3 linked regions of the Saccharomyces cerevisiae S288C genome follow. The protein of the gene in region 3 purifies or fractionates together with the protein of the main gene of each other region. This does not show direct contact. Each region holds a gene or a part of one and is shown on either strand. Other genes may lie near its edges. The genes, in order: RSM25, AIM23 and EHD3.

Evidence for each region.
Region 1: the proteins of EHD3 (region 3) and RSM25 purify together in Saccharomyces cerevisiae (affinity purification with mass spectrometry, with the first as the bait; 4 studies listed by BioGRID). This does not show direct contact.
Region 2: the proteins of EHD3 (region 3) and AIM23 purify together in Saccharomyces cerevisiae (affinity purification with mass spectrometry, with the first as the bait; 2 studies listed by BioGRID). This does not show direct contact.

What each region holds. Positions count from the first base shown.
Region 1 is NC_001141.2:187,329-190,372, forward strand, and holds RSM25 (mitochondrial 37S ribosomal protein mS23 RSM25), read right to left. Parts: upstream 1,457-3,044; coding exon 662-1,456; downstream 1-661. Other genes in the region: LYS12 (homoisocitrate dehydrogenase), read right to left, coding at 1-304; YIL092W (uncharacterized protein), read left to right, coding at 1,738-3,044. UniProt on the Saccharomyces cerevisiae protein: Component of the mitochondrial ribosome (mitoribosome), a dedicated translation machinery responsible for the synthesis of mitochondrial genome-encoded proteins, including at least some of the essential transmembrane subunits of the mitochondrial respiratory chain.
Region 2 is NC_001142.9:163,698-166,950, forward strand, and holds AIM23 (Aim23p), read right to left. Parts: upstream 1,652-3,253; coding exon 581-1,651; downstream 1-580. Other genes in the region: YJL132W (uncharacterized protein), read left to right, coding at 1-469; URA2 (bifunctional carbamoylphosphate synthetase/aspartate transcarbamylase), read right to left, coding at 2,026-3,253.
Region 3 is NC_001136.10:522,550-526,405, forward strand, and holds EHD3 (mitochondrial 37S ribosomal protein mS47 EHD3), read right to left. Parts: upstream 2,165-3,856; coding exon 662-2,164; downstream 1-661. Other genes in the region: 3-deoxy-7-phosphoheptulonate synthase ARO3, read left to right, coding at 1-379; lysine--tRNA ligase KRS1, read left to right, coding at 2,891-3,856.

The sequences.
Region 1 (3,044 bases), on a different chromosome or scaffold from region 3:
TAGTAGTTGGAGACTGAACTGCACCGAAAAGAGCACCTTGACATTGTTCCTTCAACACTTTAACAGTCTCATCAGGCAACGCCTTTCCTGTTTCTTGGAATGTTTGGAAACCGGCGTAGAGATCAATAAAGTTGAAGCTTAGGCCGTGCTTGGAGTTAAGGTTTTCCAAAACTTGCTTACCAGCAGGAATGACTTCCTTACCGATACCGTCACCGGGGATAAGACCAATAGTGAGTGATTTGCGAGCAGCGTTAGATGCTAACCCACGGCAGGCAGATAATCTAGTAGCAACAGATCTAAACATCTTTTTGAGTGCGTTACTATCTTAGTTATATAAATATGTCGCACTAATATAATAATCGCATAGATACAGTCTTAGCTAATTCTAAATCAGTTAAGATGTCCTTATATAACTGTAGAACCAGTTTAGTTTCTTGTTGTTCTTTCCTCTAATTAGAGTCATCTTAAGAATATTTTTCCACGGGAAAAAAGTGAAAAAAAAAAAAAAAAAAAAAAAAAAGAGTGGGAATTTTCAGTGCAGTTGAAAAAATCGAGGTGGAATTTGAGAACGACAATTACTTAGCACTACATGTGTTGTTCTCGTTTGTTTTTAATTATATACAGGTTGGTTAGGTGACGTTGGAGAAAAGAGGCAGCCCACCTAGAAGTGGAGGTTCTCGGAAGTGGTGGATTCTTCTTCTTGCGCCGTATTCAATGTAGTGTCGTCCTTCCACGACCCTGCAGGGTTACTTGTCCTTGCTGCCATTAGTTCAGTTTCTTCAACTACCTTCTTTTCCCAGACGTCTAGGACCTCTTGTTCCTTTTGTATACCATGTTCAATGGCAGAAACTCCAAAGAGGGATCCGAACATCTCCGCTTCTTCCAAAGCCACTTGCTGCTCTGTTTCTTCTTGCATTCTCAACGCATAGAATTCATATCTGGCATGGTCATATGCTTCGACCATGTCCCCATACTGCTTCGTTTTGATTAAGTACATAGTTCGCTGGATAACACTTTCACCATCGAGTGGTCTTCCTATCTGAAGCATATGGCTCCAATCGTAGTTTTCATCACCAATTTCGTTTTCCACTAAAATCTTAGGTCTCGACAACTCCCATGGATGTTGTTTGTAAAAGAGCGATCTGAGCCTATCCTCAACGTATGTTAGTTTAGGTGGCCTGTACAGCCTTTTCACGCCCACCCTTTTGTCGCTCGAGTTGGGTCTTGTCTTGTAAAGTCCCTTATTGTTGGCATGCGGTTGTTCTGTTACGTCAACAAGTTTTCCTATGATGTGTCCATTGGAAGGATTCTTAAAACGAGGTTCACGTGTAAACTTGGTTGATGGTGGGATAGACGCTACAACGTTGTACCACGCAGGTGTTTCTTTCAACAATCCTGATTTCAAGTAAGCGGACGTCCGTTGAAGGACGTTTACAGCATTTGTTTGTATCTTCATTTCTCAGAATTCTAAGATCTTCTTCTTGAATGGTGCGCAATGTCCTTCTTCCTTTTCCAAGCTTCTAATGAGGTTATTTTCTTAGACTTTTGTGCAGTATCTAAATATTATTGGTTTTATTGCTTGTAACTTGCACTTTTCTGTAATTGCCGAAGTATCAAAGAAATTTCAACTCTCAAAGAAGATGCGCAAGAATGAAGACCAAATGAAAAATGTCATAAAAAAGCAGTATATTAGCTGTCTTGGGTTAGGGTCCTCGTTCAACAGATTCTTTTTGCTTAATGGTGCAAATGAGATCCAAAAACATGGCATACGAGTCGGGAACTAATAACTATAGTGATACAATAGCTAATGGAAATACCCTGCCGCCGCGAAGCAAGAAGGGACACAGTGGACGTAGAAAGAGGAGCGAAACTTTGCCCATAGCGTGTAATAATTTTTGTGTTACAAGACAGATTGATGACGATGAACAAGCGTTCAAAATGCTAGATAAAGTGAGTCATCTGAAAAAATTCAGTGCTGAAGACGGTGATGATAACAATATATTCGTCCAATGGGCCGATGATATTACAGATATCTTATTTGGACTATGCTGTACAGGAACGTTTTTGAAACTTCTTATAAGCTCTGCATTATCCGGCCGGGCTAAGACATGGTTTGATTCTACAACGGAGGGAATCGATGACCATGTGATAAAGGCTTACAGTTTTGAAAAATTTCTTGCTCTACTATCAGAAGAATTTGATGGAGCAAGATCTTTAAGAAGGGAAATTTTTACGGAACTATTGACGTTGTCCATTGATTCTGAGAAGTCATTAGAAGCATTTGCCCATAAATCGGGACGTCTAACTCCATATTATCTGTCTTCTGGTGCTGCGTTGGATCTATTCCTCACAAAATTGGAGCCACAGTTGCAAAAGCAACTGGAAAATTGTGCATTCCCAATGACTTTGAATTTAGCACTATTGATAACTGCCTGTGAATTTGCGAAGAGAGCATCTAATCATAAAAAATACCGGTATAAAAATACGAGGGATTCCGACATTTGTACTCCAAAGAGTAAGAATACTGCTATCGTTAGCAAATTATCGAATACTAAAACTATAAGTAAGAATAAGGTTATTGAAAAGAGTGATAAGAAAAATTACTTTGATAAGAACAGTCAACACATACCCGATCCTAAACGTCGGAAACAAAATGAACCTGGAATGCGGCTCTTTCTTGTCATGGATGAGGAAAAGAATATTCTTACATCTAGGAATGTTTCTGCCAATGCATACACATCAAAAAATGGACACACCAATTTAAGCGATCTCCATACGAATCTTAAAAACAGTAAATCTCAACAATGTGCAGTGGAGCCAATATCGATTTTGAATAGCGGCAGTTTGGTTACAGGCACAATTAATATTGACCTAATTAATGATGAAGTTTTAGGCACGAAGGAGGAAACTACAACTTATGATGAACGTATGGATGGAAACTCACGTTCTTTGAATGAGAGGTGCTGCGCCGTCAAGAAAAACTCACTACAACCTATAACATCAAATATATTTCAAAAAAACGCTGAAATTCAGGGCACAAAGAT
Region 2 (3,253 bases), on a different chromosome or scaffold from region 3:
GAATTTTGAAGGTATGAGTTTTGTAGCCGTATCTCAACCAATGTTTGACACTGTGTTTATATATATTGAGAAGTCTGGGCAAATAGAGTTTTTCTTAAAACTGGTTCTAAAGATTAAGACAAAATCAGATTCAATCCCGGATGAGTTTGGTTCATCTTTGCTGTTTAATGACGAAGAAAAGAAATTGTACGTTTCCTCCCCAGGCAGTTTCGATGCAAGAGGAAGTATATGGAAAATTAGTATGGATGAGCTATTAAAGGCGGGAAACGATCCGAAGCGCAAAACCCTTTTGATTAATAATTTAAGGCATCTCATGCTCATAAATCCTGACAAAAGTAGCAAGGGTGTGTCAAATTTTGGTAATAGCATGATTTTGGGTCCCCAAAATCACCTTATAGTAGGCATTCCCCAATATGGGTATGGAAATTTTGATCACATGCAGCTAACCGGTAGAATCCTGGTACTTTAATGATAAGTTATTATGTACAAGCATCGGTTTAGTTCAATTACATTAATTTAATACTTGAAAAGCATATTTGGCAATATGCGCTATATATATTCTGATGTCATTTGCTTCTATTTACATTTCATTCATTTTTTTTCTCTGAATCCTTTTTTGCAATTTTTCTTGCCTCTCCTTCTTTCTCAATTCCTTTAACGCCCTCTTATCGTTGTTTTGTGGTTTAACGTCCTTTGGTATAAGTTTCATTATCATTTTCGAGTTCATGTTACCTAGCAGAACAGGATCATTAGCATATTCGCTAACTATCTCTTTCAATGTCTCCAAGACAGCAGCTCTTTTCTGGAAAACTGATTCTGGTAGCCTGGGTGGTTCACCTTTTTGAGAGCGGTCCAGCTCCTCAAAATTTTCAAGCCAATTGTTTGAATTTATGTTATTCTTGTCATCAAGATATAACGTTACTTTATTCCCTTTTTTCAATAGCGAAACTATTTCGTGAGCCTTCTGCCTTTTTAAATCATCGCTTTCAATCTGCCATGATATTTTAATATGCTTCAAGTTATCTTCTTTTTTATCAGTCACCAAATTCTTGTAAGACTTATTCAGTACTCCCAATTCCATCAGTTCCTTTTCCTTTTTTTTAGCCAGAAAGTCTGAATATTTTTTTAAGGCTACACGACTTTCGACTATCTTAACAAGTGGAATTTGATTTTCATTATCGATTTGCTCTACATTAACAATACTGAGTCCAACTTTATCGAGATCAATGCCCTTGGCAAAATACCGAATATTGGATGCTTCAATTCGGTGGGTAGTGGGATCCACAACTTTGATGTTTCCCTTGTGATTTTTTTTGAATATCTCACTAACAACTGAATTAGCTGCCTCTTTAGCTCGATCTGTCCCGGTGCTCCAAGTAATCAGGATTTTTTTCCTGTTAGTAGCATTCCTTGGCACTTGTTTCGGGCGCTTAATATACTCTTTAGGAAAAGCAGCATTTCTTGCCACATTTCCATGACTTTGCTCTTTAAGATTTGCCAGCTCACGTTTACGTTTCATTGCGTTGCGAAATATATCTGTGGTAGATGATGCATTGTCTCTGCTGAAGTATTTTGTGCAATGAAAATATCTAAAACTTTTTAAAAACAGCATCTTCTGTGAAAGAACATCACTCAAAGGAACTTTTAACATATCCACGGACCTGATGTTACCTCCTTACTGTGTATGCATCAGGTATGCATTTTGTGATATATAGCTGTTATAGTTTTCTGAACTTACTTTTTTAGACCCTTAAAGTTCTTACCGTCGCGGGAAAATTCAGGTAAAATTCAAGAGCTCAGGATGAAAACTAGACAAAAGGAACGAGATTACCTTCAACTCCTATGCCTTAAACATTTTTTGTTTCCTCAAGAAAATTTGTTTACAAAATCATTCCATCTTTTGTTTTAAATAAAAACTCGACTTTGGGAAATCATATTATTGAGTGTAATATACAAATAAAAATATTGGTTAAAAAAGTTTAATAATAGATTATAAATTTAAAATACGGATAGGTCTCTTATCATTCACATATCAACACCCATGACCATGGCCAACAAAGCCATTCTGACGAACAAACCATACTTCATTTGTCTGAAGTAAGCAGCACGATGATCGTAGTCCACTTCCTCTTTGATTTCATTTACACGAGGCAATGGATGCATGATAGCCATATTTTCTTTGGCGTGTGCCAAGATCTTGTTGTCCACGATATAAGTATCCTTCAGACGTGCATATTCTTCAGGGCTATTGAATCTTTCTTCTTGGACCCTTGTACAATACAGAACATCGGTCTTTGAGATGATATGAGGGGTTAATTCAATGCTCTCAACACCAAGTAAGCCAGCTTTTCTTAGCTCTTCTCTTAATCCTTCTGGTAACCTCAATTCCGGAGGAGAAACAAGATTAATTCTGACTTGATAGTGCATTAACAAACGACACAATGAATGTACGGTTCTACCATGTTTGAGATCACCCATGAAAGTAACAGTAATACCATTAACAGTACCGATTTCTTCACGAATCGTAAACAAATCCAAGAAGGCCTGCGTAGGATGCTCGCGAGAACCATTACCACCATTAATAATTGGAACAGGAGAATATTTAGCGGCGATATGAACAGACATTTCTTCTGAATGACGCATGACAATGGCATCACTGTAACAAGCCAAAGTTCTGATAGTATCTTGAAGGGTTTCACCTTTCTTGACAGAAGACACCAATGGATTAACATTTACAATTCTACCACCCAAACGTTCCATAGCAGCAATGAATGAAGAACAAGTACGAGTAGATGGTTCAAAGAAAATTGTAGTAATAACGTGGCCTTTCATTAAATCTAAGACACCTTCTCTTGCGACAGCTGCCCTTAGTTCTTGTGCAACAGCAAACAACACATGGAAATCAGAACGTTTGAATTGTTTGATAGACAATATATGTCTTCCGCGGAATGGATTGTTACTACGGATCAAATTCTGGATGGCGCCTGGAGCAACAAGTTCTCTTGGTGGCCTTGAAGACATCAATTTTTGTTCCAAAGGCTGTTCTGGAATTGCATCCTCCGCGGCATCTAAATTATCAGCGATTGCTTCTTCCGTGATCGAGAACCTTCTTTTAGCACTAGTAGATTGGAGCTCTGCGGAAGCAGTTATGGAAGCTGGACTTGGATTAACAATGCATTTTCCTTTGGCGCCTGGTGAAACTAATTCACCGCTCAAAACTAATGTTTCGCCATTATAGACAACACGCTCAATA
Region 3 (3,856 bases):
GAACGGTACTAACTTTGACAAAGAAAGTGTTCAAAATACTAAGAAACAGTTAGAAAAGGCCGGTTTGACTGATGATTCCCAGAAAAGAATTATGATCGATTGTTCCCACGGCAACAGTAATAAAGATTTCAAGAACCAACCAAAGGTTGCCAAATGTATTTATGACCAGCTGACGGAGGGTGAGAATAGTCTCTGTGGTGTTATGATTGAGTCCAACATAAATGAAGGTAGACAAGATATTCCCAAAGAAGGTGGCAGAGAGGGATTGAAGTATGGTTGTTCTGTTACGGATGCTTGTATTGGCTGGGAGTCCACCGAACAGGTATTGGAGCTATTGGCAGAAGGTGTTAGAAACAGAAGAAAGGCCTTGAAAAAATAGCCTGTAAATGAGGGAAAAATGCAAATAATCTTGAATGATACTCAAAACTTTTGATTTATTGTAATTTCTTTCTGAACCATATTTATTACATTCAAACTTTTTTTTTTTTGCCTTTTATAAAAAAAAATACTTATAAGAAAAGAGAAAGAAAATGACAGTTTTCTATGTATCATTAAATAAACATCCATATACAAATATAGCGTTATGTTTTACTTTTATTATTTACATGCATAGAAGTGTTGGCAAAATTCTTTACGAGCCACGGGGCTGCTATTTCAGGTTTTATTTCCATCTTAAGCCATCGTTAACTTCTTCACATTTTCTTTCACAAACAATTTTACATAGCGATTGGATACCCAGTTTCCCTCTTCTAGAAGGAATCACATTGGCAAAGTGATTTAGTACTTCTCTTTCGGTAACTTTGGCGCCAGTGTCATCATTCGTTCTCTTTTCAATATACGCAGCGATTTCCTGTTCTGTAGGCAATTGGTATTTAGAATGGTAGGGATATTGAGTCCAAGTAACATTCGAGGTATTTCTTAGTAATGACATTGGTAGCGATGGTTTAGGAGATGTGATAGATGTCAACTGAGATACAAATAACTGTTCCTTCTTTGTCCATGGATACGGGACCCTTTGTTTATCAATAAGTTTATGCTTTGTGGCTTCAGAGAATTCCACCAAAGAGTCCTGGTTCATGCACATGTTAGCTGCTGTGTATAAGTCTCTTTTGATAGCAGATTCTATGTGATCTCTGGAATTCTCTTGCACCAATCTCAAGGCGATTTGAAGAGAGGATGGTGACTTGGTTAACAATTTCGTTTTGATTTCTTGTGCGAAAGCCTTACCTTCCGCAGAACCTTCATATTGACGTAAGTTATTCATTATGTCTTCAATAGTACCATTTTTAGACAAGTTAAAACAGGCTTCAATAACGTTTAATTTCTCGTTAGAATACTTGAAAACATAATCTTTTGGTAATGGTGATACGAATTCGTCGATGGATTCGTTAACCATCCCGAAGAAGTATGCAGATTGTGGATCGTTATTAAAAGGGGGGCTAATTTCACCTAATCTTTTCTGCAAAGCATCTAAATTTTCACTACTGACGTAATGAGACGCTAAGCCGAGCATATAAGCGTCTGCTCCTGTGACTACTTCTCCTGTAAGACATAGATACAGGGCCATTTGTGAGTTTGAGTTAGCCAATGTCACGATTCTAGGGAGAGCAAAAGTTGAGCCTACATCTGGAAAAAAACCAATGTCCATCTCGGGCATGGCCCATTTGGTGTTTTCTGTAGCAATTCTAAAGGGCGTGTGAATGGATAGACCAACGCCGCCACCCATGGTGATACCGTCCATGAAGGTAACAATTGGTTTCAAGTAAGTTGCTATTTGAAAATTCAAAGAATATTCATCAGTAAAAAATTTGATGGACTTGGCAAATTCTTTGTTAAAATTGAATATTGCCACAGTAGCTACATCACCACCAGCACAGAACGAACGTGGTCGGTTGGATGACTTTAAAATGACTAAGTTTGTAGTATCGCTCTTTGCATACTCGTTCAAAGTCTTGAACATGGATTCTGACATTTCGGCGTTCAAAGCATTGAGCTTTTTGGGCCTATTTAGCGTGATAACTCTAGCTGTATCTTGAACGGTAAATAGCACAGGTGGTGCGTCGGTGACATTTAGCTGGGGTTGAGTAGTCATGAATGTACGTGTGGTAGTTTTAAATCCGTATTTAGACGACAATTGGGCACATTTTAGCGTATTTCTGAGCATTATTTGTGGTGGCTAAACAGAACCAAGTATTATATAAATGAGGATTCCCGTACACAGGCGCAGGAAACAAGCTGCTCTTATCTTCTCGGCTACCTCATCAATCATTTGGCTCCGAGGTTTAACACTTTTCTTTGCACTTGCCTCTCCAATTCCGAAGTTCCGAAGGGTGACCCGGATTGTGTTACTAAACAAGAGAAGATTGGTAGAAAACGCAATGGGTCAGTTTGGCTGGCTGAATCCTTGGAATCCTGTAAGGCTGCTTACTACAAATGGGTTAGGGACTGTTCTCTTCGGCATAATGTTTAAGTGTTAGTTTTGAGATATTACATGTTTAAGAATTCAAAAAACCTTTCTATTAACCCAGGAAACGATGCGGATAAGGCGAGCTTCTCCGACCCATGAGCACAATAGATCAAGTTCTGTTCTAGTTGTTGGTTAGTAGTTTATGGAATGCTAATGGCATTAGTGATGTAGGAATATTTTTGGTGTAGTGTATGGGTGTTGTGAAAATATTTGCCATTTGAATTTTTTTCGGCGCTTTTCTTTTTTTTTTTCTTTTTTTTTTAGCTTGAATTATCGATGAATGATGAAATGACTCTTAATGAACTTCGAAGTTATATATACAGCCACTTTTTTGTTTAGAAAGAAAAGTATAATTATCTTACATACATTGATTTATTGCTCTGTCCTTCCTCCGAGAAATCCGTAATAAACTTCAATAGCATAATGTCTCAACAAGATAATGTCAAAGCCGCCGCTGAAGGTGTTGCTAACCTACATCTCGACGAAGCTACCGGGGAAATGGTCTCCAAGTCTGAATTGAAGAAGCGTATCAAGCAAAGACAAGTCGAAGCTAAAAAGGCCGCCAAAAAGGCTGCCGCTCAACCAAAACCGGCTTCCAAAAAAAAAACAGATTTGTTCGCTGACCTGGATCCATCGCAATATTTCGAAACAAGATCTCGCCAAATTCAAGAATTGAGAAAGACTCACGAACCAAATCCATACCCACACAAGTTTCACGTTTCTATATCCAATCCTGAGTTCTTGGCCAAATATGCGCATTTGAAAAAAGGTGAAACCTTACCTGAAGAGAAGGTTTCAATTGCTGGTAGAATTCATGCCAAAAGAGAATCTGGCTCCAAATTGAAATTCTATGTTCTTCACGGTGATGGTGTTGAAGTTCAATTGATGTCCCAATTGCAGGACTACTGCGACCCAGACTCTTACGAAAAGGATCACGACCTTTTGAAAAGGGGTGATATCGTTGGTGTCGAGGGTTACGTCGGAAGAACTCAACCAAAGAAAGGTGGTGAAGGTGAAGTTTCCGTCTTCGTTAGCAGAGTGCAATTATTGACACCATGTTTGCACATGTTACCTGCCGACCACTTTGGTTTCAAAGACCAGGAAACCAGATACAGAAAGCGTTATTTGGATTTGATCATGAACAAAGACGCCAGAAACCGTTTTATTACCCGTTCTGAAATTATCCGTTACATCAGAAGATTTTTGGACCAAAGAAAGTTTATTGAAGTAGAAACTCCAATGATGAACGTTATTGCTGGTGGTGCTACCGCTAAGCCATTTATTACCCACCATAATGACCTTGATATGGACATGTACATGAGAATTGCTCCAGAATTGTTCTTGAAACAATTGGTTGTCGGTGGTTTGGATCGTGTTTACGAAATTGGT